4 linked regions of the Lepisosteus oculatus genome follow. The protein of the gene in region 4 binds, or shares a complex with, the protein of the main gene of each other region. Links are inferred from orthologs where the notes say so. Each region holds a gene or a part of one and is shown on either strand. Other genes may lie near its edges.

Region 1 (7,129 bases), on a different chromosome or scaffold from region 4:
ACAAAATAACACTTTGGTAATTTATATTTCATAGATTGGGAATTGGCCAGTGATAAGTGTCAATTAGTAACTACAAAAATCTCAACTTAATTACATCCCCGATTAATCAATGTTGCCATAAAAAGAAGGAATTCAAAAATTATATTACCTGCGCCTCTTAGGTGATCTGCTCCGTCTGAAAGTACAAAAGAGGAAGATAAAAAGTTTTAAGATTTTGTTATGCTGTTTTGGAGTCACTTTCTCAAACATGGTTATTCTATTTTCACACCGATGATCTCAAAACACCTTGAGAAAAACGTTCAAATGACAACAGCTTTAATCAAGTGAAGTGATCACAGCACTCTTGCTGGGAAAGAAAAAACAGAGCGAGGCGCTTACCTCCTGGGAGACCGACTGCGTCGGTAGCGAGGGGAGGGGGATCGGCGGGGCCTGTCTACGTCGCGGTAGCTTCGTCGGTGGGGCTCTGGAGACTGGCCTCTCTCCGGCTGCAAGCCATGACCGCAGGAGGTCACCGCATTTCACCGCAACAGAAGAAACACCAAGTGGAAAACGGGAACAAAATTAGGAAACAATTGTGAGATAGAAGAACATCCTGCAGACCGAGGTTCAGAGTTCTTGGTTCCCCTTACCTTCTCTTCCTCCTCCTCCTCTTCCTCCTCGCTGGTCTCCACCTCGTCTAGGTCCTCTTCCAGTGCACTGACCCGAGTGTCCAGCAGCTCTGCCTCCTCCAACACCTGCCGCTTCTGCAAAACAGATGCACACCTTTCGTTGCACACCTGTTCAGCAGACTCCGACTCTGCAAGTGCTTTTTAATCGCGATCATAATCAAAGAAACTTGTCAAGACATGTAAGGCCATGCCAGCAACCATATCACTCTGCAACTCACAACTGGCAGCCCACTGAAGCTAAGCAGGTGTGAGCCTGGTCACTACCTGGATGGGAGACCTCCTGGGAGAAACTAAGGTTCCTGCTAGAACAGGTGTTAGTGGGGCCAGCAGGGAGAGCTCACCCTGTGGGTCCTAACGCCCCAGTATAGCGATAGGGACACTGTACTGTAAAACAGGCACTGTCCTTCGGATGAGACATAAAACTGAGGTCCTGACTCTCTGTGGTCATTAAAAATCCCAGGGCGTTTCCTGAAAAGAGTGGGGGTGTAACCCCGGCGTCCTGACCAGATTTCCCATTGGCTCTTACCAATCATTGCCTCCTAATAATCCCCATCTATGAATTGGCTTCATTACTCTGTTGTCCTCCCCACTAATAGCTGATGTGTGGTGAGTGTTCTGGTACACTATGGCTGCTGTCGCTTCATCCAGGTGGATGCTACACATTGGTGGTGGTGGAGGGGAGTCCCCATTACCTGTAAAGCGCTTTGGGTGGAGTGTCCAGAAAAGCGCTATATAAGTGTAACAATTATTATTAATTATTATTATAAAGTGATATGAACTTCTTTAATCTGCTATTCCTAGAGATTTGCCTGCTATAAGAGTGCAGAAGAATGAAAAGAGCTACTACATACCTGTAGCCTAGGAAGTATTATGTCACACACTCTTTCGCTGTGCAGCAATTCATCAATGTATTCGTCCACGTGCATCAGCTCAAACTCTTGAGAAATGGAAAGGCAAGATAGTGTGAACAAGCATTTAAAAAAAAAAGTACTAAACTCCAGTTAATCTCACTTGGCATATGCCTCTAACAAAACAGCTGCCACAAAATACGGCCTTGTCGTAAAATATTAAAAACAACTGCATGCACACAACAAAGAAGCTCACCTCCATTCCGATTTTGGTTTTTGATTTTCCTGTAGTCATTGTACAATGGCTCCAGGTACTTATAGCAATCCACTGATGAACCAGTCAGTCTCATGTACAAGGCTCCAAGCAAACGGACATACCTACAGGGAATAAATGTGACTTTCACTTTGTATCCTCAGCAGGGCTAGTACCGAGAACTTTTTAAATGGAAGAAAATATAGCATACAAATGTAGCATCCTTAATGTTACCTCAGAAAGAATACCTCATGGTATGATAAATGATGAATACAAGCCAGTGCATAAAGGTAGAAAAACTATAAGAAAACTTAACGATAAGACCTGCATGGTGAGCTCAGCATCTCCAAAGAAACAAGAAACAAGCATCTCCAAAACACAATGGAACTGTCAAAACATCTACCACATACTGCCGTTTCTCACTAGAAGCTCTGCGTGCCCTCTTTACAATAGCTTGTCTTTCAGCTCAGTGCACTACACCTACTTGAAATCCTCGTTCTTTATGAATTCCACGATGATGTCTTTCTCCGGCTGGATCTGCAGCATCTTCAGGGTTAGGCAGAGGAAAGGAGTGGGTTTAATATTCCCTCCGTAAACTCCACCAACGTACTTCAGCTCCATGGCTTTATCCACCACCAATTCAGCTGCACATAGAAAATAAAAGTGGTAAAGACAATCAGCAGACAAACGTTACAAAAACACTGTAACGTTTTAATGAAGGCACAGATTAACGAAATCTGTGAGGTTATTTAAACTGTTTTTGCCACCTACTCACAACACTTCACTTATGTTTTTTTTCCAATTACTATTGCTAATACTGCTTGCAGCTAAACGGTGGATTACAATTGGTCAAATGGATCAAACAGCTGTAAATCTCTGTATCTGGACTAGAGATTAAATTAAAACCAGACAGGCCTCAAATAATAGCAGTGTGTTTATAATTTTTTTTAATGGACAGTATTACCATGGATATTACTGTAATTACTCGAATTGCGCTCTGTTCACACTTGTATTTTTACCATATCTACTTATTCAATTATTACCACGTGTCTCTGCTACTGCTCACCCGTAAGTCCGAAGCATTCCTCCTTCCAGTATTTTGACTCGTAGATCCGTGTGCGAATAATTTTCTCCACTAAATACTGTGGATTTGTTCCATGAATGCTATTAGCGTCTTTCACAGTTCGATTAGCCATTTTTCCTCTACAGTCCTCTCAAAACACTTCGCAACACAAGTGTTTCCGGTGCAGAAAACATACACTTCTGGAGTCAAAGGGCGTGTGTTTCAAGCGCTCGTGTCACGTGACATGACGTCACTGAGCACAGAGCACCCAGCCCGGGAAAGTGTAGCGTGTGTCGGTGGGGGTAGTTCTTATAAAGTAAAGGAAGTGATATAACTGTATAACTGTATGAAGTCTGGTGTATTTTAGGCGAATTAATAAATGACAAGAAACACTTCTTGTTAGTAGAAAATTACGTTTTAAAGATTGTTTTAACAACGAAAATCACACCTTCGTTATTTAAACTTTTGAGGTATAGTTTATTACCTGTGTGTCATCCTGGACAAACTTTTTTTATCAGTTGAAGTGCACTGAAGAAATCAAGCGGCATTACTTTCCTGCTTAGACATTCATTTTGTAAGTACATCTTTTAAATCGTAACATCTAGAAAGAATAACTGGGTTCCATCTGGAATCTGAGAGTCCAATGTGTTTATGTTCACATGGATTTCACTGTTTCTTGGTTGTTGACGACTACTCACCATCATTTCCATGAAGATGAGCATCATTTTCAAAATTCAGTCACATAATGTCATTAACACTGTCGTTTCCATGTTACGTTTTTTTTATGTACAGAATGACAGTAACGCAGTTAAACATACTGTTCAATTGAATACCTCAGTTGACACTATTGATATAATATAACTTTACTCAGAAACTTTTTCTTCTTCAAAATCAAGATTTAAAAACACATTTTCTCAGTATTTCAGTTTTGAATGCTTTATTACTTTTCGTGCACCTTAGGAGATAAAAAGATGAGCCGGTACCTAACCAGGCAGAGGAAAAGGCGAGTGTACACTTGGAATGGAAAACCTACGCTCATTGACAGGAAACTGCAGTTTTTCTATTACGAGTGAGTAGTTCAAGACTTCGGCTTCCTTAGCAATCAGATAGCTTGTTTCTACTAAAAACCATTATCAATAAGTTGTGTTTTTACACTGCATTCATCCCATCGTTTAGTACAAGGACACATAAGAAAGGTTACATGTTAGAAGTGTCCATTTTGCCTATTTTGCTTTTTGCATCTCAGAACCTGCACTTGCAAGTGAGGCAGTAAAATCCCATAACAACAACATGCCTATCTAGGTAGTGCTAGTACGGATCAATAATGCTGTGAGTTCCATGTTTCAGTTGAGTAGGAGAATTCCAGTGTCAAATTGAAAACAAAAGGCTTTTAGGGCAGGCTGATTGAGCTTCTGAGGTATGTAGCTGAGTACTGAGAAGACACATCTCCTTTCTGAACGGGTGAGTCTTGAGCAGGTGCCAAAAGGTGGTCAGGGACTGAGCTGTTTGGATTTCTGTTGGCAGTTCATTGCACTGCTGAGGAGGTTGAAGGGAGAGATACAGGAGTCAGGTTTGGCAGGAGCAGAGTGGTGGGAGGGAAGTAGGGTCTTGAATCGCAGTAACAGGGATGCAGTGGAGGGGTACAGGTAATGGAGTAGCAAGTGAAGAGCAAAGGTGAACAAGAGAATTCATGATGAGTTGGAGTGAACGGGTAGTATTAACAGGGAAGTCGGCAAAAGAGGGAGTTACAATAGTCTGATCATTTGGAATTGTGTGGAATAGTTGGTAAGGAAGCGGGTGATTCTGCATACCACTCTTGAAGTCATCACAGGAGCATGCCAGAGGGAGAAATCTGATGACAAAACGAGAGGTAAAAAGTATATGTGGAAGTGACTCAAGGAACAGGTCTAGAGTAGGGGTTCTAGGACAGAGTCCTGCGGTACACCTTATGAGTGTGACTGAGTGGCATATAGCAAGGTAGCAAACTAACCTGTAGTTTTAAAGTGGTAGGGTAAATGGTTAAAGAGAATTTATACAATACTGAGAATAACAATTTAAGAACAATGTTATTTACATTTATTGAAGTGCAGTAACAGTAGGTTTTGTGTATATCATAGATCAAAGGATGTAACTATATTGTGTATCACATTGGTGTGACTTCTGGATCAAGTCCATAACCTAAGGTTTTAACTCTTTTCTCTGTTTATACAGTCAAGAATGATAACTTGGGATGCAGTAAAATATTGGGGCTTACGTGGAATGTTATATATGTTTTGTTTGCTGTAAACTAAACATTCTACCTTCACATACTGTCTGTGCTGTCCGTCATAGGAAGAGTCCATCATGGCACCTAACCATGAGGGTTTTGAAGCCACAAATTGTAATTGAATGTCAGGTCTCAGGGAGGACATGAAGTCCACAAAGACACTTTAGTTGCAGATACATAGAGAAAAAGTGCTAAGTAAGTTAATTCAATTAAGTTAACACATAAAACTTAATATTGGTTCTGAAACTAAATTGAACGAAATTTGTTCTGTTTTTCAAGTGGGTTTTTCATGTATGCAGAAGGCACTTCAGAAGCCAGTTCTATAAAGCTCGGCCAGTACATCTTGATCGAAGGCGATGATGATGACAATCCCTTTATTGCAAAACTACTCAAACTCTACGGCAGTGGTGAGTCACTGGCAGGCATTTCTTCTCCAGTCTGATATAGAGCATGTGTACCATGAAAGTATTTTGAAAGAATTTAAAGATCGCTTAAATTCATGGAGGTGGTGAGGTTGTAGCAAATTGTGTTTCTTTAGCCCTTCTTTTTCCTTGAGACACTTATGAGGTTAAAAGTAATGGCATGGTTCTCTCATCTTTAGGTCCTAGGGAAAGAGAGAATAAGCGAGCAGAGGTGCAGTGGTTTGCCCGATTCTCGGAGGTGCCCTCTAACAAGAGGAAGATGTTGGGCAGGGCGCCCCACCCTCAGGAGATCTTCCTGTATGACGTGACTAACTGTGACTGTGAAATAGATGTGGAGACTATTCTTGGTGCTGTGGAGGTGAGTAAAATCACAGACACACATGTATGTTGAAGGTGATCTGGGATATTTCCTCAGACTTTAAAAATTGATCTCATGAAACATTTCTGTTTGTGATCAGAACATGGGCAAAACATCTTGCTACTTGGATTTTATTTACAATGTGAAAAATAATTCATTTAAAATGCTTTTTAGAACCTTAATTAAATAGTCAGTGAAATGTTGTTGCTAATAAGGGTGGCATTGGCTTATGACATGGCAAAGCTTGGGGGAGATCCGCATTCCTTTCTGAAGGTGATTTCTTAAGGAGAGACGAGTCTGAAGGCACTCTGTGTTCTCCAGGTGAGACATGTGGAGCCACAAGCCCCCTTCCCAGTGGAGCAGAGCAACGGCACCCTCTACGTCAAGCTGTCCTGGAACGGGAAGGCCTTCAGAGCGGTCACAGCTGAGCAGGTGGGACAGGGCAGTGGGGCTTCTCTGGCCCCTGCTCCCAGAGGCAGCCTGCCCACCCCCGACGTTGCTGTGATGAAGAGGGCCTTGGCTGGGGCGGTGAGTGTGGGGGTGCCAGCCTCAAGCCAGGCTGAGTCCCACCACTCCTCCTCCAAGTACTCCCAGTCAAAAGGCCTGAGTGCCCGACGGCAGGCCAAGTGTTCTTCCACCCCAGGCGTCCGGAAGAAGCTGCAGCTCAGCAGTAAGTGCTTGCTTGAAATTGTGGTTCGCGTGGTCATTTGCCATAATAATATTATTATTAATTTGTTACACTTATATAGCGCTTTTCTGGACACTCCACTCAAAGTGCTTTACAGGTAATGGGGACTCCCCTCCACCACCACCAATGTGTAGCTCCCCCTGGATGATGCAACGGCAGCTATAGTGTGCCAGAATGCTCCCCACACATCAGCTATCAGTGGAAAGGAGAAAAGAGTAATGAAGCTAGTTCATAAATGGGGATTATTAGGAGGGCATGATTGGTAAGGGCCAATGGGAAATTTGGCCAGGACGCTGGGGTAACACCCCTACTCTTTTTGAGAATCGCCCTGGGATTTTTAATGACCATAGACAGGACTATTTTACTATTTTTCTCATCTGAAGGACGGTGCCTTTTTAAAGTATAGTGTCCCCATCACTGTACTGGGGTATTAGGGCCTACACAGACCACATGGTGAGCGCCCCCTACTGGCCCCACTAACACCTCTACCGGCAGCAGCCTTAGTTTTCCCAGGAGTTTTCCATCCACATGCTGACCAGGCTTACACCTGCTTAGCATCATTG
Region 2 (7,776 bases), on a different chromosome or scaffold from region 4:
CAAAATCCAACCCTTTCACCAAGTGAGTGTGCTCCATGTCACCACCCAAGAACTTGGACTCCTGGATCAGTTGCCTTCTCTTTTCTGCTGCCGATTTATCGCTGTTAATTGCCAAAACAGGAGAATATAAAATGATCATTAGAAAAGACCATTTTAATGTATTCAAGAAACACCTGCTGGAATCTAAAAATTCCATCGATGCAAAAACACCATTGCAAGAACATGGAAACAAAGGAATGTCATATTAGATGTATAGAGCTACTGCAGAACTTCACAAATATAAATCTTCTTGGCTGACAAGCAATTAGGATAGATAAGAAGTGTGTTCTGAAGGGAGGGCTAGTGAGAAGGGCAGTTCTCTTCATGTAGGGTGGAAGGAAACAGGAGAGGTGTGTGAGGAACGGGCTGAGAGACACTCACGCTTCTGCTGTAGGGCCCACAGCCCTGTAGTTGGCTGTGGTGCTGATGAGTTCAGTCTCCTCATAGTCCTTGTTGACACCATCTCTCCTCTCCCTTGCTCGGTCTCTGTACTTCTCCGCCAACTCGCGCTCTCGTTCAAGCTCCTGCTGTCGAAGCTTGGCATAGTAACTGCGAGTGAAGCAGGAAAGTTAAAACAATGAAATGGAGCGAAAAAAAAAGAGTTCAATTTATGCAATTATGCTCAACCTATATTCCTTTACCTATGTGTTTACCTTGGGTGATATTTACAGCACTACCTAGTGAAGCTATTCATCAGAATAGTTTACCAAACTTTGCTTAGTGGTTGAATAAAATTGACAAAAATCACCTTTTCTTCTTCCTTCTTCGAGCTGCTGGGTCTTCATCCTCATTGTATTCCCTTGGCATTCTGGAACCATACAAGGCGAGTTAGTATGAGAAACATGAGGCTCTTCCATTTGCAGATAACTACAATTATTGATAGTCGAATAATTTGTAGCTTTTGATAAGACAAACTGTGTGTTTCTACTACCATATTAAAACTATTTTGACAGATGTAGAAAAGGTGTAACAAATACAGGAACAAGCAGACGATGCTGTGGACGTTCTATGAGACGCAGTTGTTGAAAACCTTAAGGTTTCCCGTCCTAAAAAAGTGCCCCATCAGTACTCACTCATGGTGGCGAGATTTTGAAGGAGGGGCTGTTGAAGGTGTAGCCCGCGGGGTCATCAACAATTTTCGGAAATCTTCATTTGTCAGCTTGGACCTAAGCAGCAGAAAAGAACATTAACATGATCATTCAGCAGAAACCTTCCGACACATTTACAACATCTTAAAAAACACTCAACGTATTTGAATCCACCTCTGTAATATTTAACTCTTTGGCTAAAGTATGACAGAAATGAAAATGTACTCGATACCTTGCACTGGATTATTTTAAGAATATAAGTTTTTCAGGTGGGTTTATTTTAGTTCCTCAGTGGGCACTGATCACAAGATTATATAAGACTGTCAAAATAACACTGGAAGAAAGTGCAAAACTGAGTGATTTTGATAAATAACTAGAGTCTCCATATTTAATATGGATTGCCGAGCGTAAAATAATTAGTGAAGCAGCACAGTGGTACAACAGTGCTACTATCTCACTGCTACTGGGTGCTATGTTCTATTCTGTACTGGAACAGCTTTTGTAAGGAGTTTGCAGGTTCTCCAAATTTCTAATGACATGCTGTCCAGGCTATTTATAGTCTTTGTGTGTGTGTGTGTCCACAACGCAGTTCCGCTTTGTGCCCCATGCTTCTGAAATATGCTCTGAGTTCCTGAATTACTTTGGACAAGAACAAGGAGCTTGCTAACAATGGAAAGCTGGGAAATCATAAGTTCATAAGACATCATAAGACAAATACACAGCAATATGGAGATACTCACTGGAGAGCTGACCGATGATCTTCCACCTCATGGCCATCTGGAGCCAGGGGATTTGAGTACAGCTCACCTAAGGGGAGGGAAGGAAAACAAATATAAAGGTTATAGGAAAACGTTTTAAAAAGAACACCCCAGTTGAATAAGGTGCTGCCTAATGAAAAATTACAATAGAAATGTATAACATTTGCCAGAGAATAGCACTTAGAAATGTGTCCCTAGAGGCCTGACTGACTAAGGAAGAGGTTTATACAAACTCCCTTTATGGTATACTTGATTGAAATCATGCTCTTATAATCTTAAAATTAAGATGTTAATTAGAAATCGTATCTTAAAATTCTTGAATCCCTCTGAAGAGATCAAATTTCCCAGCGAAAAACTATTATTGATTTTTAAATCCAAAGATTTCTTTGAATGTTACAATGCTGAGAAGATCAATGCTTACAAAATTTGACAACACAATTATGAGGCCTACTATTATAAGATAATTAAACATTATGAGGTAGTCACGACATAAAAATTAATTTCTGAACACACGTACAATCCCATAGACAACGGAGCAGAGTCACAATAGTAGTGAGGCCCACTATTAAAACTACAACGATAGTTGTCAAGCATATCGATGTACTGGCTATAGTTAGTCGTGCATTTAAATAATACAAACATTTACCGACAAAAAAAAATTGACATTGGGCGACAGTACTAATTAAGAACAAAAACCCTGAACACCAACATAAACCAGTTCAAGTAAATCATTGCCCCTAATTCCAAGCTTACAGAGAATATTCAATCGATGTGTTTATCTAGCCATAAAAGCGATCGGATTTAATTAACTAATGTAAGTACGTTTGAAATTATACAATAACAAAGAACGCGTTTATCCTCGTAAACAAAATAACAGCAACATTCAAGTACTTGAGGTAAAATGCGAAAACAAAACTTACTGTCTCGTTCCGGCATTTTGAAGCGGTTTACGTTTCTCTGCTTCAAAGAGGATCCTTACATCTATTTTTTACGTTTTAAAACCGAAAATCAATCTGCAAATATTATTTTAGACACTTAAACACAGCAAATTACTACTCCATCCGTCGTCCACAAAACTCACTACCGGAAATGGCAGAACAGGAAAAATAATCGATCACGGTTGTCGCAATTCTGACTATCGACTAAGATTGCCTTGAAATACCCTAAAGACATTGGTCAGAAGCATCCTGCTGTAATTGGTTATCACTGAGAGTCTATCTACTTTGTTCCCACGCTGATTGGTGAGTTGTTTACGCCCCTCTAAAATGTGATATGTGATTGGTTATGATGCTTTCCAATGGGATGCTCTTTAAGCACTCATTGGGTAAGGCGGTGCTCCTAAAGGAAGTGGTAGAGAGTATCGCAAATCTGTAGATTTTAAAGGTGAACATCATGGCTGCTGTTGCAAGAAGTATTGGGTCAAATCTTGCGAGAAACCTTAAAGAAATCCGCTTACATTTGTGTCAGACCTCGGCGGGTAGTCAAGGGGTCAGGTATGTATTAAGAAAGCAGGTATTGCTAGAACGACATTTTTTATCGCAATTTGATTGCTTGGAGAAGTCGTACAACTGTATTTAACAGTATAGAATGTTTTATGTTTTGCCGAAATTGTATCTCCTGTTTGCATTGGAAACAGTGCTTTTATAAACACTCAGTCTTTGAACCGCTGTCACTGGCTGCTGTTTCAACTAGGTATAGCAAATTCTCAATTTACAGGAATGTACTATATAAAAAATAAATAAATAAGTTTATTATATCTCTCATCGGGGTTGGTATTGTACATTTGGATAATATGTAAAAACGAAAAGCAGTATTTTATTTATTACCTTCTAATTCTTCCTAAATGTTTTGCAAAGTATGCTGGACAGGTCGGTTAATGGCAGACAGTGACATTTAAAAATATACGATTGTTTATTCTTTCGTTAGGGATTTCATCGAGCAGCACTATGTGACGCTGAAGAAAGCTAACCCTGAGTTTCCAATCTTAATCAGGGAGTGTTCTGGTGTTCAGCCTAAATTGTGGGCACGATACGGTGAGTCCGAGTACAGTACTTGAACAGGTGTACGGCGATCAGCGGATTAATAAACATATTTACTGAAATCCAGTTGTAAGGGAATTCAGCTGGCATTGGGCCATAACGAAGAAGGAAATTGGGAGCCATTTACTTAATTTATTCCTAAAATATACAGTTGTCATTTTGCTAGATGTACTGATTTAAACTTACATTTGGGTGGCTTTTGTTAATGGATCAAAACTGAATGATAGATGTTTGAGGACATTCAGAATTCAGCAGGAATGAAATCCAAACATCAATATAGTTCTTTGGAACCTTGGTTACTGTTTTGGATTCTTTAAATTCTGACATATTTACCAGGCATATCTACCATGCCTATTCTGTTCCTAGTGACACCACTGTTTAACAGAATATGCTGCACAGAAATTGCTGCTACACTAACATAACTAGACCTTTTTGATTCCACCTACAAATATAATCTTTGATTGTTCAGGAAGTGAAAACAACTCAAGTTAGTCTACTAAGTCGAAATTGTATTGGAACATGGAGATCTTAACATCTGGCATACACTTGGGGCATAAGGAGATGTATCACAAGTATCAAAATAAGGGTATTGCTCTGTTTTAACTCATAGGACGACCGAGCGGGGCTTGAATTGCTGCTTTTGTGTTGCAGAGTTTGGCAAAGAAAAGAGTGTAGCTCTGGACAACATGAATGCTGCCCAAGTAGCCAAGGCATTGGAGTCTGTGGTTAATGCTAAACCATGAAGAGAAGCAGAAAAGGAAGTTCTGTGCAGGTGGTGTCTGTGCCCTGTATTTTGTGGACTTTGGGTGAACGGTCTGTTTCAACCCCAATGCATTGATATGCCAGTGTACAATAAAATGTATTTAATGACAAATGAGTTTTTGCGTTTTCTTGCTTAACAAAACTATAACTTCAATAAATCACACACAAACTAAATTAGAATATTTTATTAAAATAAAACAAATACACTTCATATTATAATGCATACTAAATTAAGTGTTCCATTTGCTATTTTTCAAGGACTAGAGGATTGCAGAAGGTGGGGGGGAAGGCAGAGCCAAGGGTAATTTTTATAAAATACATTCAGGGGCATACTAAATGACCAGATTCTCTTGGGTTTATATTATAATTGAATATCTTTTAAGTTGGTAACATTTTTTGCATTTTGTGAATTTGCATTATTTGCATTTAAAGGCGCTATATAAAATAAAGTTTTTTATTATTATTATTATATTAAGGTGTCTACCTTAAACTACCATTTTATAATTCGTTTTCTATTTCATGATGACAATCTGGAAAAGTTTTTTTATAACCAGAAAATTATAAATTATATTCTCTGTAACAGGGTTTTTGATGAATGTGACTTGCAGCAGTTTGTATTTGAGTTGATTTTTTTATAACATAAAATCTTTTCCATATAAGCGTAATGGCTAAAATAGCCATATAGAAAAGAAATTTGCATTGCAAAATTAAAGTATGTTCCCTGAGAACCTTTAGCATTTATGACACAAAGCTTTCTTCTTGATACTGCCACTTAGCACAACATGGTTGGGGTGTCATTCAACAGGAGTATTTGCCTTTAAAACAGGAAAAAAATTAAACTCATTTTACTGCTCTCAAACAACAGGCATACATGATGGATATATCTCATACATGAATGTGGAAATAACTTTTCTGTAGTGCACATTTCTTAGATTTAATTCTACAACCAACATTAAAAGTCAATAAGGGATATTTTACATAAAGTTCTGTTAGTTTCCACATCTGTGGAATCAACCACGCACTCAACAACATTTTGAAATCAGTTCCTCCGCAAACTCCTTAAAACATCTGCTCAAGCAGCTGTCCTTACCAGGACCTGTGGGGAGAGATATCTATCCAGAATGAAAGTGGCCCGAATCCTTAACTCCTCCTGGCTGTTATACTGGATGGCCTCTAGCAGTGAAATCCCCTCCTGCTTCACAAGCTCACAAGCAACCTATGAACACAGTGCATGGAAAAAAAGATTTGCTGTTATGAGCTGGTGTAATACATACATGTTCAAATCTATAAATAGTAGAAAAGAGTTTTAAATCAACAGAAAAATCAGGAATAAATAAAACTCATGCCTCACTGGCTTAGTCTGGCTTTGATCATCTACGCTCTGAGGGGCAGGTGCTACCAGCCCTAGTGTGGAAATACAACTACCAGAAAGACAAAACACAATTCTGAATAGTTCCAGTATCTTCTGTCACAGCACACATATGGAGAAAATATAACAAGTTCTAATAACTTGGAAAAAAATCATCTAGGCTTTCGGTATCACATTACCTGGGAGCTGCCAGCCACCATCATGTGCAGCAGTTCTAGACTAAGATGTATAATTTCAGGATCAGCCATTCTGAGCGTTGTGTGAAGAGCTGACAGCACCCCTTTCTGGTGCAGCTGCTGGCAGTACTCCGGTCCTTTCTTAGCAGTGTTGCATAGTACACGCAGGGCCTAAATTGAAAGAGGCATAAAAACCTTAAAATGCATTACAAAAAATACTGTGCTTGAAATAACCCGATCCCCACGTTTCTTACCATAATGTTTATGCCCTTGGAGAATGGCAGCAGCTCAATCAACACAGGTACCAGGTTTAAGTATAGCAGCACTGAGCAGAATATGGCATCTTCAGCTGGACAGAATCAGCGGAACACAAAACATGTAAGGCTAATACAGATGTATCACTTCCCCAGCATACCCAAGTCAAGCACGTGAGAATACAGGGTCACTGACTGGTAGGTAAGATACTGATATAATTTAAAGATTAAAAACTCTACTTCAACAGTGGATTAATCTCATCTGAGAGAGAAACCAAATTTCTGCAGTGACTGATTTCTTATGAGCAGTTTGAACTGCCATAATCGACACCATATACCATCTTAAACTATACAAAACCTCAGTTTAAGTAAAAACAAGCAGAAACGCTCGTAGTACAAACATTTCTATTCAAAGAAGGTGACTGTGTACTCCGCTAGAGCAAGTATCACCTTACATATTCATCAGGAAATCCAAAAAGGAAACTAGGCACTATAATAACTCACTTCCAGAAAAGTTTTTCCTTCAGATATAAAAGTTGGTTGCTACCTGTAAGATTATTCATGACCCATAGGCTTTCTCGTGCAATGTATGTCCGCGTCTGCAGAAAAGCCTGAATAAAGGCACACAGCGCCACCAGCAGCCTGCTGTCCCTGATCTGCTCTCTACAAACTTCGCCTCCAGTGCCCGCTAGCAGGTTCCCAAGGCAACGGAGCAAGGGAGAAATCAGCTGCAGCATTTTCAAAAAAACAAAAAACAGTGGACTTTTTTAACGTGCAGGACTGTTGGCTTCCATGAGGGATATATGCTTCACCAGAAAGAACACAAACAGCACTTTACTGAAACTCTGAAAGTTTGTCCTGTATTTATCCTTCAAATATTAATCAAACAAAGGGTTTTGAACATCAGAGAACTCTATCAGCCATACAAAGTAATTGCCAAACTAATTAGAATAGTTTGCTGTGCAAAACATTTATTTTTAAACACATTCTGTTTGTTTTCCCACATCTCAGATTTTTTTTCAAAGAAATACCGGCTTGTTTGAATTTGCTTGATAAATATACTAAGGATGCTGCAAATGTTTTCCACTACATCTAAGGAAAGAAACACAAAAATCTGTTCTAGTACTAGGTTATGTTCAATTTTCATTAACCTACATTTAGCACATGACCTCACTTCTTTGTACTGACTCCAAGACTCAGTTCCACCTCCACACTTAGTGGAAACTGTTGTACCTGGATTTGTATTGGAGATTAAGAATGGTGTATTTTCCAGTTGTAACCCACTGAACCT
Region 3 (7,457 bases), on a different chromosome or scaffold from region 4:
AGCCAAACTGTTAGGGAAAGACCCTGAAGGCCAAAGTAAGCAGACCAGATTAGAATTAAGACTAAAAAAAAAAATACTGAAAACACTGGTTACTGACCACAGTTCTGTAGGGCACTGAATATTTCACACTTTGAAGCCACCCAAGAATTAGTGGCTGAATAAGTTAAATTTAACCAGTGTAGAGCAACAGTTTGTTCAATTATGGTACCAGGGGCTTGGTTACCATTTGAAACAGTAGGTGCTGCAGCTCTCCGGGATCAAGGGTAGATCCTAGACTTGCACTGCATAAGGCAAACAAACTGTACTGTGATTGGAAGCCCTTGGCAAATTACCTCTTCTCTGAGTTCCTTCATGCGCTCTTCAAAGTCATACTCTTTCTGTTTCTCCTCCAGCTTCTTCTTGTTCATCTCAAAACGTTTCTTCACCTGATCAAGGGATGACCGTTCCACCCGCATTGACATACCAAGATTTCTCTGATCTGAAAGCAGAGCCAGCGACAAGATTTCCGACACCTTCATAAAAATGAATTTCCCTCAGAGCGGCAAAATAAGACATGAAATCCATGCTCAAGCATAATATTGTGAGGAGAGGATTGGCACTGCAGAATTATACTGCTCTGTAAAGACACTGTAAAGTTCTGTAAATTATTCTACTACATTTAATTAAAAATGAAAGATGAGTACAGGAAGCAAACGTGAGATTCTTAAAATTATTTTAGTGTTGCAAAATGTCTTGGACATCTATAGAACCAGAACCATCTAGATTAATACAGCAAAAGCAAGAATTTCTGAGATAAACCTTCATGCTAAATAGCAGTATGTTCCTCAAAGTCTGTACTTACGTTTCTTGCCATTGATATGGTCCAAAAAATTGATTGAATCCTTCACTACACAATCACAGACATTACAATAGTATCTGGAAACCCAAAGAAAAACAAACAAAGGGGGTTAAATTAAGATTTCATTGAAAAAATAACCAAAAATACCTTTTTCAGCTCATAACATTTCTTAATCTTTGGTTTCAGTTTCAAGCTAATGCATTCCTATATTGTGGTATAACAGATTAATCCATTTAACAATGACAGTACTAAGCTCGCTTTTTTTCAACTTGCCATCTCTACAGAGTATTCTATTAAAAGAACTGAATGCAAGAGAATTTATCAGGTGTACATAAACCTGTGGAAAAGTGGAAAGTAGTGAACTATTAATTGTTTTTTCTGTTCTGTGTATGTACAATTTGAATATCACCATACCACACACTTGTCCAATAAGTTTCAGGACTTAGAAATCTCAAACAAACAGTAAAGACCAAAACCTAGAACAAGATTTTGTCTCTGAATGAGCAATCAGGTGGGACGACGAGCCTGAAAGTACTTACCCACCCATCTCCGCCTGCGGGGTGGTTTTAGTGATGACAATGGTTTTCCCGAGCTTAGACTCCAGGTCCACTTTGTAGTCCCTGTGTCGTAAAAGCTCCCGTTTAACAGGCGGAGAAGGTTTTCCTGATGCAAAAATAAAACAACCAGACATGAACCAAACTTCACTAAATGAGCCTGTAATGTAACAAATGCAGTTAATGGCGCCAGAACATTTTTATTCATACCTCCACTACATACTGAAGCCCAAATATGTAGGTTTTATTATTTACACCTGAGTGAGATTTAGTGTAGCAGCTCTAAAAAAATGATTTTATGTTTCTACAACAGTACTTTTTAATACACATTGTGAAGGTTTTCTATATGTTATTTGGGACCTCTATAATAAGGCTAAACATAGTATTTGTACCCACATGCTCAAGTTATCAAACACATTTAGTCATCCAATTTTCAGTGTGTGTGGTAACTAACCTGTGAGTTTACAGTCAAAGGGCCGTTACATGACACAATCATTATTCGTGCATTTTATGGAATGGTGAAATGAGAACAAATTCTCATTGACCACAATGACCAGGAGGAATCTGACTCAAAACTACACCATGCTTCTGTTATTTTAACAGTATTTATATTAGCGCAAAGTACTTATTCCTATCACATCATCAGGAGTCAAAATGATTAGCACCTTATAAGATTCTGTAAGACGCAAACACAAAAAAAAACTTTTAATGTGTTTAAAGTTAAAACTAAGGGGATGCCAGAGGCTATCTTACCATCTTTTTTCTCCCTTTCCTCCGTGAGGCGCTTCTGAGCCAGCTTTTCATACTCATCTTTATCCCATTTCCTTCGGAAGTCATTTTTTGTCTAGTAATAAAAGAGTTTTGCATCAATACTAAATACACGATAACTTTAGAAGGTACCATAAGTCCAGCGACATATATGCGATATCGAAGTTAAAACTAGTTAATAAAAAAATGCTATACAGTCATTTGAGCAAATTGTTTTACTTTTTACTTTTTTTCCTAGGAGAATAACGACTTGAACAGAAACTTAAAACACCGAATCGACTTCAGCCAGGCAATAGCTTTTCAGGTGTCATTTAAAAATGCACATGGACTTCAAACTGTCACTCTGCTCTAGATGTCTGATGTATAGAAAATGTATATGGTTGTCCACATATATGTATGAAAGTATTTGGAAAAAAAATACATTTAGATATCACATAGCACGATCTCGAAGAACACCATCTCCATCTCAATAAACCCCCCAGGAAATGATCTTACAATTTGTACATAATTCAGGCAAGTTACAAAATACTCAACCAACAAAACATTCTCACCAGTCTGGGGTATTATTAGTTAAACCATCAGGTCTGGTAGCTAAACTACTTTATCAGTAAGGCGGCTATAATCAAATTAAACCGCTTACGCGATAAATGGAAGTAGACATTTTAAAAACGGAAATATTCTTTGTTGAAGAACTATTGAAACTTGCAGTTTTTTAAATAAAAAGAAAGAACACTCAAAACCTACCCCGCTACCGGACGCCATTTTGCTCATAACAGAATACGGCTGTCGTAAATTATGTAGACGTAAAACTATACCCATGTTTCTGTATTGCCTAGAGTTCATTGGGGTTTCCTGCGTTTTAACCATTAACCTTACTGCCACCCTCTGGACAGGAGTTCTTTCCAAAAGGGGGAACAATTATCATTGTTTTTCCGAAACACACAGTATTTACATCATTTCCGATGAGGATGGGCTACAGTGTACAAAATAAACGGATGAAAAACATTTTTGTGTAATAAAAGTAGTATTAAATAACAGTTTACGTTTAAAATCAGTTACCACAAAACTATAGTTTTTCAAAACATTTGTACAATAAATTTTATAAAGTTATAATCATAGCACTCCTCACTGGGCAGGAAATATCGGGCAAAGTCCCTCGTCTTCATGAATCTTCTTGAGCATTTGTGGTGCAGATATTGACAGATATCTGATATCTCACAAAAGAATTATTTCTTACAGAAACTAACACACACAAGATGTAATTTAATATTTGCTCTACAAAAGGAGTAAGTACTTCGAACATTTTTAATTTTTAAATAGTTTTACTTGTTAAACGTAATAGTTCCACTATTCTGTGACTCACTTTTCTGTGTCTTGTCTCTTTTACCACCTTATATATTCTTTATATACTTCCTTACTGTTGCTTTCTCTTTGGCTATTGTATTTCACAGTGCATGATCTGCAGTTTCTCGTCCTGTAAGTGTCCAGGATAAGTAGTGAAGCCACCAGGTCTCCACTGTAGTATTTCATCTAACTTCCACTGCAGCTGTGTAAACATTAACATCCATTTTAATCCTATCATCCCAGTCCCACTACAGCCTGTCGTGGGGGGGCATTCCGGTCTCATATAAGGGTCATGAACTCTTATATACTTTTAATTAATAAGACCCCATAGACAATATTACAGGATGTCTCAAGCAGACGTAATTAAGGTTTTGTCGAAAAAAAGTAAACGCCTTGCAGTTCCTTGTAAAAAAAAATATCTGTGCATAATTTGATTATGTTAGAGTAGAAATGCTCCCAGTGTAACAATCAGCTCGTATTCCTTTCTATTATGGGAGGGAATTGATCCATAGCACAGCTGCGAAATACCCAATCTAAGTTGATCTAACTTTATTATAAGTTATTAACTTAATAACTAACAAAGCTGCTAAACAGGGCTGTATGGTCTCTCGTTTGTACCTGAAACCATGATTTAAAAAAAAAAAAACTGTACCGAAACGTATTTCTCAAGACGAAAACTCTTAACAACATTAAACAGAAAAAGGTAGTTTTGATTCATAACAACACTGCGCACAGCCCTCACTGACAGCTCCCTTTGGTGGTACTGTATGCAACAGCACAAACCGACAGTCTTCTTGCTGAAGTCTTTTCGGATCAACACCGCAGCTCCTCCTGACCTCGAGTTCAGGCACGCGTCCTGCAGCCTACGTCGCGTTGCCCAAGGCATTAACGTTCCGATCGCAGGACGACGGCGAAAAAGTGCGGTAGTTTCCAAATGTATTATTTGGGAATTTCATTATGGTCCAGAAATACGTCGGGCGAGAAGGAAGACAATTTGATAACAGCAGCTTACGCTGATATAGCCCGCGTTTTGTATAGCCAGTGCCGAGAAGGTCGAAACTGAGCGAAAAAGCTTCAGAGGAAAGTCCTAGAAGAAGCAAAAAGTAAAAAAGAAAAACGACTAAGAGAATATGATTCTGGCCTTTGACGCATTTGATTTTAATCATGCTCAATGAGACGTGCTCGTCTCATCGTGCTCATGCAAAATCCTACGCTCGATCTTCCGTTGCAGGCACAGAATGAACGGATTATCACTCGACAGCAGCAAATATATAACATTCTGGAAAACGTAATAACTGCTTTCGTGTGGACGCCCGCTGTCTGTAACCACGTTTCCAGCGCCGGCCAGCATGGGCAGTGCGTCTTAATAACACGTGGACGCAGATCGCACCTTCTCCGGAAAACGTGTTTTGGTGTAACTGACGCAGATGAGCGTGAAACGCGACGATATCTGCTTTGTAACATTTTATAGTGAAATTCCTGAAAGCAGTCAAGTGATAAGTTATTTATGTCATGTACTTTTTTAAAACGTTGTCATAAAACATCGCACAATACTCGTATATAATCTGGAAATAATCTACGTTCACAGACCAATTCTAAGAACATGATTAACGTCGTTTTTCTAATGTTGTAAGATTTTGTTTTTTTGCTGTTGTGACCATGCTGTGATTTGTTTTTTACATTTCAGAAGAACTGTTCCCTGAATTGTGATTTTACCAATTCGTGCGTTATTTACGAATTTCAACGCCTTCATTGCAGCACCGCCTACAACATGCAAATTATTCAGAAAGATACTTTCTCGCTTGTAGAAGTTTCCAGAAGTCAAAAGTTGTATGCAAAAGTGATTGCGAAGCTGAGAACAGTTTGTGTTGCAGTAGATTTTGAAAAAGAATTATAAATGGAGTCGACAACGGTAGGTTTTAGGTTAGACGTTTTCTCATTGAAAAAATAAAATACGCAGGTGTTTTATTTCAGTAATATCAAAATCGTTACAATCTGCTAAAATAAGGTGTTGCCGACACTTTTTTTCCCAGAGGTCAGTTACGTAAAACGTTGTTAATGATCAAGACCTTTTCATTTAATTTGACTTTTTGTGCAGGTTCTGGTTTTCAAAAACGCTTATGCCGGAATTTCACCGAAAAATACAATTGCGCACCTGCTGTTCATAGACTTAACAAAAGCTATAACATGGGTGGTTGAGGTTTACACGGTTTTTGGGTCAGTTGTCCGTTTGATTATGCATTAATATTTTTTAAATTATTTTTGCATATTCCATTTTTTTTAATGTTAGGTTTGTGAATCGTTGTTCTTATATATCCTATTTTCCTGAAACGATTTCCAGTTTGTCCTAACCTTTTCTAGATTTTTAATTTTAAGATGTCGTTTTTAGTGGTGTCGTATTTGTTGTTGAAACTGCTATCACTATCAATAAAATATCCGTCTCTGCACAGTGATTTATTTGCGATATTTAAGCTTTTACACATTATCCTATCACATTCCCCTAAGACTAAGAACTAAATCACTTCAATACTTTTAAAATGGCAAACCACACCTACCCACGTATCTGTACATATTTGAATATGAGTGCGGAGATGTGTGATTTAATTGGTACATTTCTAGTTATTAAGTGATATATGGCTTAATTGCCAGTGTATGAAATATAAGGGTCAGTACTGGAGGAAGAGTTTCCATAAGATTCTAATAGACTAAAAATCTACTTAGGAGGGAGGTTATCAAAAAGAATACTGTTCCAGATTAATAGAGTAATTACTCTTTTCACAATGGTTGAGAAGGACAAAAGAACAACCTGATTGTTAAATTATTGGTTCAAGTAGATTTTTTCTTTAAAAAATGAAGTGAGAATTCCTTGTTTAAGCAAGGAATTATTCTAATTCTTTATAACAGTACGTTACTGTCGTTCAGCATAATGTAAACATTTGTTAGTGTTGACTGTTTTCTAAGCCAACAGCACTTAAAGAAATTGAGAACGTTTTCTGGCAGTCTTGGATAAATACAGCTTTATTACCACCTTAGAGCTTGATCTCATCTGATCTCAAAGTCTAAGCTGAGCTGGGCCTGGTTGGTACAATGCTGGGATTGTAGATTTCGGAGGGAAGCCATAGAACTGTTCAAAACGGTAGGGTTTTTAACTTTGGTATATTGGTTTTAAACAATCTTGTTTTCCTAACATTCAAATTGGGCTAAAAGGCACAATACATTGTATAGGCAAGGAATTCGTATAATATATATATATAATATACTTATTACATTAGTTATTTCTCCTGTACACAGGACATACTAAGTACAGATGTGCCTTGTAAAGATGATGTTTCCTTTCTGACGTTTTAGGATAGCTCCCATAGTATTTTAAACTTTGTGAACAAAGAAAGTTGGGAATCCCTGCAGGCTTGGAAAAACAGCACAGGAGTCTCTCTTGTGCAGATCAATGGACAGAGAATATATGGAGGTCCACCAGCAGGTAAGCCATGTTTTCTCATCCTGAATCCAAACAGTAATTTTAAAAAGTGATAGGGAAGTCATAAACTTATGACTTATGGTTATGGTTTTCTAATTATTATACTGCATCACTTAACAATTAAGAATTCTTTTGGAACAAGAGCTGAGTTAAAGTTACTGTGGCTGAAAAGGTAATTTCATGTCCTTAGTCTACTCTACAGCCCATCTACAGTATTCACAGAAACTCATTTCAAGTGAAAAGCTGTGGTTGTATTTTTATTAAATGTCCAAGTCTTCCTAGATGGTGAATGTAAATGGTGCAGATTTTTGCACAACAGTAATGAACACAGATAAGGCATTATTAACATGCATTCTTTAATTAGGAGTTTAAGATTTGACAGTTTAGTTCAACATGAGCTGAGCATGATGATTTTTATGAAGCATGTAAAATTAAAATTATGGATATACTAGGAACTTGAAACCAAGTATAGTGTATA
Region 4 (7,309 bases):
AGCGGCAAGACCCAGGGTTGGAAGAGGTTCATCTAGAGGTTAACTTGCCACACACTACCTGCCGGTGTTATTGGACTGTATTGGCTTTAGAAAGTTTTAAAAGGTTTCACAGTTGTGAGTGCAAACTGTGCGTCATGAAAAACTCATAACATTCTGCTATTCATATACTCAGGATAAGGAACGAAAGTCCATTCTTCCAAGCATACAAGCAACCTGGGTACAGGACAGAAAGGCACCACAGCCCCTCATGACAGGGCAGGGTAATGAGGTGGGCTCCTGGCTCACTCCCACACAGAGACCAAGATAAGGGAGGAGGGACTTAATTAGCATCAAACACTTCAAAATTCACGCAATTTTCACACAGAACAATTCCCCATAAAAAAAATACCTCCAATATCACACACATGCCTTGTATGAATATAAGTAGAATTTTTTACTTGCTTTGTCTTCTTTGATCCGGTTCAGGTGTGAATGTGAATACTGTGTTTGTACCGTCAGCGTTACAGATCTCCTCTTATTTCAGGAGTGGGGACTGCCCTTTTTAAATGTGTCGAGTGTTTAGGGGCAGAGTAGTTGGGAATCAGACAGCTGAAGAACTACTCTTTGTGAGACGAAGTAGTTTCTAACAGCATTTCTAGAGTGACGGGTTCAATGATGTTAAGAAGGTGTCTCTGTTTTGTTTTTCCTCACACAGGCCTGTTTCCCATCTTGCTCTTTTTGGATGTCTTTATAGTTAATAGTTAATGGTAAACTTGACTGAAAAATAAAACAACATAAGAAAACATGTAAACAAAAGAAATTAAGAAATACATCAACCTGCAAAAACGTACCTGCTCATAGAGATCAATAAGTGTCTTGTCTGGCAGCTTAAGAGACTGAATGGCCTGTAAAACAGTGTCCCAGTGACCACTGTTTATGTCAGCCACAAAGCTCTCAATGCTGTCCACTGTATTGAGTGACACCGTGGTCTCCTCTTGCAGTGTGGCCAGGGTCCGGTGAAGATTGTTCTCCTTCAGATACTGCATTATCAGGCGGATCACGCTGAAAAGCCATTCAACGCCCAGTTAATGAAAACACTAATAGAACAATTAACACTAATCAAAAAATTATATTGTAACGACAACTTCACAATTGTCTTTTCTTTTTGCCCGAAATTGGCAATACTAAGGCAAAATTATATGAATGAACCAAGCCACCCTTTAAACTCAAACACGAACAATTTCAAACACAACTGTTCTTTGCAAACCACTAGGAAATAATATTATTATTATTATATACTTATATATTATTATTATTATATACTTATATAGCACTTTTCTGGACACTCCACTCAAAGCGCTTTACAGGTAATGGGGACTCCCCTCCACCACCATCAATGTACAGCATCCACCATAGTGCGCCCAAATGCTCACCACACATCAGCTATCAGTGGGGAGGAGAGCAGAGTAATGAAGCCAATTCATAGAGGGGGATTGTTAGGAGGCCATGATTGATAAAGGCCGATGGGAAATTTGGCCAGGACGCAGGAGTACACCCCTACTCTTTTCGAGGAACGCCCTGGGATTTTTAGTGACCACAGAGAGTCAGGATCTCGGTTTTACATCTCATCCGAAGGACGGCGCCTGTTTACAGTATAGTGTCCCCGTCACTGCACTGGGGCATTAGGACCCACATGAGCCACAGGGTGAGTGCCCCCTGCTGGCCCCACTAACACCTCCTCCAGCAGCAACCTTAGTTTTTCCCAGGAGGTCTCCCATCCAGGTACAGACCAGGCTCACGCCTGCTTAGCTTCAGTGGGCTGCCAGTTGTGAGTGCAGGGTGATATGACTGCTGGTAAGGAAAGGCTCTAGCAATAGGTTAAGTCCAACCGCACAGGTGAAAGTACACTTGGCTCTTTCAAGTCTTAACCCTTATGGTATCTTAACTCTATAAATTGATACATTGTCTGGATCCATATTGCTATTGTTTTAATAAGGCAGAAAGGGGGAATGAGGTTACACATCTGGAATTTAAATGCTAAAATCTAATTTAAATGGAAGACTCGAAATGCAAAGCACTTTCATAGGACTCCATTATCATAAAGGAGAGGTACTACTTAAAGAGTATTACTGACGAAAAAATAAGAATACCAGACTTATTGAAACATTTCGTTTAAGTTGGAACCCATGCTTTGTGAGAAATTGTATGGCAATAGTTAAGGTTTTGTTTTTTTTGCCTCGCTTCTTAATTATTTTTTCGTTCAAAATACGCAGCCTATTCAGACAACACATAAGGAGCTTTTACAAATACAGAAATGAAAAGTACCCTTAGAATTCCTAGCAGTTACAATTCGCAAGTTACAAACATGTATAAATACTTGCACAGGATTTCGCTGTCATTCCTGATGTGAGTACATACTTATACGATGTGCTGAAAGAACTACACATCGACTAATTAAAATATCATACCGTTAAGAGTGTTTTTGTTTGTAACAAGCTGTTTTTGCAGTTAACCATCAAATAGACAACATTTTAGCTGCTATCATGGAGGTCGGAGTTCAACAAGCAAAGGAAATCCACCTACAATAAGCACACGTTTTGTGACTGTAAAGTTACACCCATAGATGCACTAGTACGTTAATGCGCGCCGTTGCATTTCGCCTTTGGATTAACACTACAAATTAGGCAACAAGAACGAACCTTAAGTGTGATTATACACTTTTCAATCAAAGATTAAGGCATTAAAACAAACTGCCAGCAATGCAGTATCCTCTGAAGCACCGGTCTAGCTAGGCCTAAAAACCTTACTGCAAACACTGTAACGATTACCGTGTAAACACATTTTTAAACTTAAAATCACAATGCCTTAATTTCCCCCCCAAAAAACAGGTCAGATTTTAAGTAACTTACTCCGCCGATTCCACCTCCAGGGACATGATTCAGACCCAAAAACACAAAACAATACACCAGAAACTCCAGCACAATCCTCCACAGGCATTAACTATCGTACACCCACCCCTGTCACGTGACTACTACAGGACAAGCATACAACCGTCACATGATCGCCTCTAGGCCAATAGTGTTATTTCCGTAGACCGTTTGGTTTGTTCTAGATAAAGCGTAAAAATGTACGTTTTTACTTGTGTTGCAAGTTTAATAGAACATTGAAAAGTCTTGTTCTATTTTATGAGATTATTAATTCACCATCGTATTTATAAATATGGGTAGTTGTTTCTTAATCAGCTGTAAAGGTAACGTGATGCAAATGTTTATATAAAAATAAGCAACATTTCGTCCTCGTGCATTTGGTATGATTGGAGTGGTAAATCCTGTACCTGGGTTAAAGCGTGGGTTATAATCACGCTTTAAAATTGACCAGCACAAGTTTCCTTTAATTTACTCCTGCTTTGACTTAAATTGTCTGCAACACCGATACGACAGGTTTAAAATAAAAATCCCGTTCCACTTTGGGAGTTATTTATATAATAGGTTTCCTGATCCTGGTTTTGAAGGTAATTATTTCACTCGTGTAGTACAGTTTAAATAAAAGTGCCATCAAAGGTATGAAGACTCCAGTAGATGGAGCTGCTGCTTACAACTGTACAGAAGATGGGTTTAAAAGGAATATAAGAGTGCCTTTCAAAAGGATTCAGGTTATTGCGTTGCTAACGTGCACACTTTCACAGTAAAGATGACAGTTCGCACTCATTTCTGATTAGTTGAAATTTTACACACTGATAAGAATACCACTTGGGAAAAATGGGTATGCTCCACATCTCAGCACTTTTAGTTTTGATTTATACAAAGTGAGAACTGTTAAATACATTTTATACCACATCTATATTTAGCTAAAAAAATCACTTCTGATTACAGTAGATGATAGCCCTAAGGGTGATCCCCTCAGATGCTCACAAGAATATTCTTTCAGAGTGTGTACATACTCATTACAGGTTTTGCAAGGGCTAGATGTGCATTATTGCAATTACAATATTGTCCTACTTATGTTTTGAAAAATCGTTTTTACAATGAAAGCACAGATGTGATGATACAAAGCTATCAGCATTTTAAATGATCCTTTTGAAAATGCAAGATATGCTCCTGTTAATTTCCTTACGGGGGATTTAAACTGAAAACCGCAGTTGGTTTTCTCCTGAAAGCGTCGCAAGATTCTGAAACGAGGTACTCGGCGGAGTAGTTGAAGCTTGGCGCCCCCAGCTTCCTTTCACTAAACGACTGGATGAGATCCTCCGGCCACTAGCAACCAAATGAGCTCAAAGGGCCCAATGGCCTGCTCTTACGTTTTTATGAGTTTTCGATTGTTAAACTCTTTTTTTTTCTGGTTTCCTCTTTGGCAAAATAAAAAAAGCGTTTCCTTTTCTCATGCTGCTGGAACACTATCCGGAGACAGCGAGCTCCCACAGTGCATAAAAAGGCAGAGGAATAGTGTGCCGATATCTGGATGTGGGAAAAGAATGAAGTGCAGGGACTTTATAAGAGATCGTTACACGCAACCCCCCTATTGTGCCCGGAGCTCCCTGAATACCTGGGCAGTAGGCAACAGGCCAATGCATTTCAGAAGGAAATGGATACCTGAAAATACCTTCAGCGCTAGCACTGGGAAAGCCTCACACCTCTGTATCACATGGGTCTTAAAGCACTCTGTGGAAAAAAAGGACAAAGATGGGGCTTTTAGAGGTTTAATGTTTCAGCTTCCTCTACTTTTGGGGGGATTTTTTACATTCTCCATGCCCTGGTAAACTTTTTCTGTTCTTTTAATTTCCTGACTACGCTAATGGTTTTTAAGGAGAAAAACCGTGATAAAATCTGAATACAACATGAAGGCCCGCCATTAGTAAGTTCGTGTTTAATGTATACGTACAAATGTTGGCGAAGTACAATGGTGTAAATGGTAAAGAGAATTAGGGTTTTGTTAAATGAGTTGGAAGACGTTAACAACCAGCAACATGCAAAGCCCCAGACGCAGAACAATAGTGGTCGAGACTTAATTTATTCTGTGCAACAGTTTCATCTGACTGGTATAATCTCTGCAATCCCTGCAGACAGACATTCCCTAGCAAACAAGCAGAACATGATTAGTTTAAGCCTTTGATAGTTCTGTTAAATTATGTTCCCTTCCCTAAAGTTCTTTGAAAACCTACCATTAGATGGTTAGATGGTTTTGTTTTTTATATTTTGCTCAATAAAATCAATTTCTATCATGATATTGCAAAATGTCACATGGTTTTTCCGATGGTGTATTTGTAAGGGGTGTTTAGACACTCCCAACAACAGATCACTTAACCATGTCCTGGACTACATTATGCGAGTACAAACACATTGATTACCCAGTAGCTTTTAAAATCATGTCATCTCCCTCTGGCAATGATAGTTACAGTACCTGCCATACCTAACCTCTGCTCCAGCTAATTCTGGTCATCCCTGTTTCATTATTTGCTATTGAAGGTAACTTCCTACAAGGAGGCAACATCAAAGCTGTCGGAAGCATGTACCGAACACTTAATTCTTCATCATGAGTACACCCCTAAAACCCCTTCATAAAATGCAATAGGCATTTTCCAATTCATCTTTTCATTTTACACAGAGGGTTGTAATAGGCTAAATACCCAGTCACATTTTTACAGCCCTCAACCCTGGCTTCTTTCGAGAAGTAGCCAGATGACATCCTTGAATCGAGGAGTGACTGAAAAAACAAACGGTCTAGATTTCTTATGTCTCTATTACCAAAATGGTTAAATCACCTTTCCCTGCAATGACAAATGGAATACCTAATAATATAAAAGAGAGGAGAATTAGACAGGTGTCGCTGATCACTACAGACGACATTTCAAACAAAAAGCAGGACAGTGAATGTTGTCAGTGTGATGACATGCCAAACCTGTCAACACAATCCCAAAAAAAAAGGCGGCCATTATTACACACCTGATTTTCAAAGGCTCTTCAAGAAAATCTGATTTCACTGTGATATAAACACATCAGACATGAAAGTCATGCTAGATATACAGCCTGAATGCAGTCGTTACTAATTATAGCTATTTTGTACCATACAGAAGTCATTTTTAAATTATTGCACGTATCAGGTTGCACAGACCTATAAAAATGGTGTAACAATTAAAAAATGAAGTCCAGCAAACTTATCCTAGAAGAAAACGAAGAAAAAATAACTTTATTAATGGAGCTCTGGAGGGAGCTTACTTATGAAGAAAGTTACCTGGAAAACTTTTGAATTGTCATCCAAGAATGTGTCAGGTCGTCACATAAAAAAATATCAGGTAGAAGGAGGAGGGAGAAACTTCAATGAATTCTCTGTTTATATGTAATTATGTAAGGTATTGATGATATTTTTTGGCAAATTATGCAACATTTTTTCCATTCGCTTGTTGCAAAAGTTACAATAAGTTCACATTTCTTTCACATGGACATACTGTCCTACAATCCTAATTCAGTTTGATTTTTGTAAAAAAAAATCAAGTTCTGTTTAATGGTTTTGTAGGTAGACATCCAAAAAGATGAAAAAAGTCAATGGTTCTATTAAAATGCTTTGACGTGATTTATCTTTGCACTTGCCACTGCAAGATACAGTTAATCAAATGAGTTCTTCAAACTACAGTATGTTTATTGAAGTCCTCTTTGGCAGGTATCACCATTGGATTTCTGGAGTATATTGCTCAGGAATAAACATAATTTAAGCCTGGAGTATTTAAACACTGATGATGTGTTCTAATAGTGTACTAACAGCACTCCCTGTATCTCAATTCCACCTCAGCTAACTCAGGACTTCTTCTGATAGGTGCCCTACCCTGTCCTCACTAAAGAATCCTCTATCAGCCAAATTCAAATGACAAGACCCTCGCATTTTCATTATAACTCAATGTCAATTGCAGTTGATGTCTTTTTCATCCTGGCACATACTGTACATTGATGTGAGGCTGATAAAGGAATGCAAGCCAGACATTATAGCTCGGATATCAGAAATGGACTGAATGGCACAAAGAGGTACTGCTGTTGCTGGCTAGCCTCCATTCAGTTGATAAAGGTCAATATATCTGAGTAATGTAGCATGTAAAGCATGTAGATGCAACACAAATTTGTATAAGCCAGCAACTTCTTGAGACATTAACAAAAATCCCTGTGCATTTATCTTGCTTTTTTGAAAAATTAGAATCACTCAATCATAACGTAAGCCTGTTTTGATAGGCCACAATGGAACACACTGAAAACAGATGCTGATTATAAAAATAAAAATGTAAAAAGAAGGCACAATTATGGTGCATACAATTATTTTATCATGCAAACTTCTTTCAACAGCTCCA

The links.
Region 1: WD40 repeat-containing protein SMU1 (region 4) and prpf38a share a complex: the UniProt entries of both Homo sapiens proteins name them as parts of the spliceosome B complex. The link is inferred for Lepisosteus oculatus from reciprocal best matches to the Homo sapiens genes SMU1 and PRPF38A.
Region 2: WD40 repeat-containing protein SMU1 (region 4) and ik share a complex: the UniProt entries of both Homo sapiens proteins name them as parts of the spliceosome B complex. The link is inferred for Lepisosteus oculatus from reciprocal best matches to the Homo sapiens genes SMU1 and IK.
Region 3: WD40 repeat-containing protein SMU1 (region 4) and zmat2 share a complex: the UniProt entries of both Homo sapiens proteins name them as parts of the spliceosome B complex. The link is inferred for Lepisosteus oculatus from reciprocal best matches to the Homo sapiens genes SMU1 and ZMAT2.

Annotation. Positions count from the first base shown.
Region 1 is NC_090704.1:14,897,437-14,904,565, reverse strand, and holds the start of prpf38a (pre-mRNA-splicing factor 38A), read right to left. Parts: upstream 3,023-7,129; 5' UTR 2,966-3,022; coding exon 2,836-2,965; intron 2,414-2,835; coding exon 2,254-2,413; intron 1,895-2,253; coding exon 1,773-1,894; intron 1,606-1,772; coding exon 1,520-1,605; intron 744-1,519; coding exon 630-743; intron 486-629; coding exon 379-485; intron 176-378; coding exon 149-175; intron 1-148. Other genes in the region: orc1 (origin recognition complex subunit 1), read left to right, coding at 3,804-3,901, 5,378-5,505, 5,700-5,878, 6,200-6,548. UniProt on the Homo sapiens protein: Involved in pre-mRNA splicing as a component of the spliceosome.
Region 2 is NC_090706.1:32,600,314-32,608,089, reverse strand, and holds the start of ik (protein Red), read right to left. Parts: upstream 3,003-7,776; 5' UTR 2,822-3,002; coding exon 2,806-2,821; intron 1,935-2,805; coding exon 1,868-1,934; intron 1,206-1,867; coding exon 1,113-1,205; intron 848-1,112; coding exon 788-847; intron 589-787; coding exon 421-588; intron 102-420; coding exon 1-101. Other genes in the region: ndufa2 (NADH dehydrogenase [ubiquinone] 1 alpha subcomplex subunit 2), read left to right, coding at 3,278-3,378, 3,812-3,918, 4,576-4,667; tmco6 (transmembrane and coiled-coil domain-containing protein 6), read right to left, coding at 5,481-5,501, 5,777-5,902, 6,235-6,402, 6,486-6,580, 7,033-7,213. UniProt on the Homo sapiens protein: Involved in pre-mRNA splicing as a component of the spliceosome. Auxiliary spliceosomal protein that regulates selection of alternative splice sites in a small set of target pre-mRNA species. Required for normal mitotic cell cycle progression.
Region 3 is NC_090706.1:32,663,371-32,670,827, reverse strand, and holds the start of zmat2 (zinc finger matrin-type protein 2), read right to left. Parts: upstream 3,009-7,457; 5' UTR 3,004-3,008; coding exon 2,905-3,003; intron 2,237-2,904; coding exon 2,146-2,236; intron 1,502-2,145; coding exon 1,378-1,501; intron 916-1,377; coding exon 842-915; intron 479-841; coding exon 333-478; intron 1-332. Other genes in the region: dnd1 (dead end protein 1), read left to right, coding at 5,402-5,416, 6,853-6,982. UniProt on the Homo sapiens protein: Involved in pre-mRNA splicing as a component of the spliceosome.
Region 4 is NC_090696.1:33,605,793-33,613,101, forward strand, and holds the start of WD40 repeat-containing protein SMU1, read right to left. Parts: upstream 3,011-7,309; 5' UTR 2,915-3,010; coding exon 2,889-2,914; intron 1,042-2,888; coding exon 831-1,041; intron 1-830. UniProt on the Homo sapiens protein: Involved in pre-mRNA splicing as a component of the spliceosome. Regulates alternative splicing of the HSPG2 pre-mRNA. Required for normal accumulation of IK.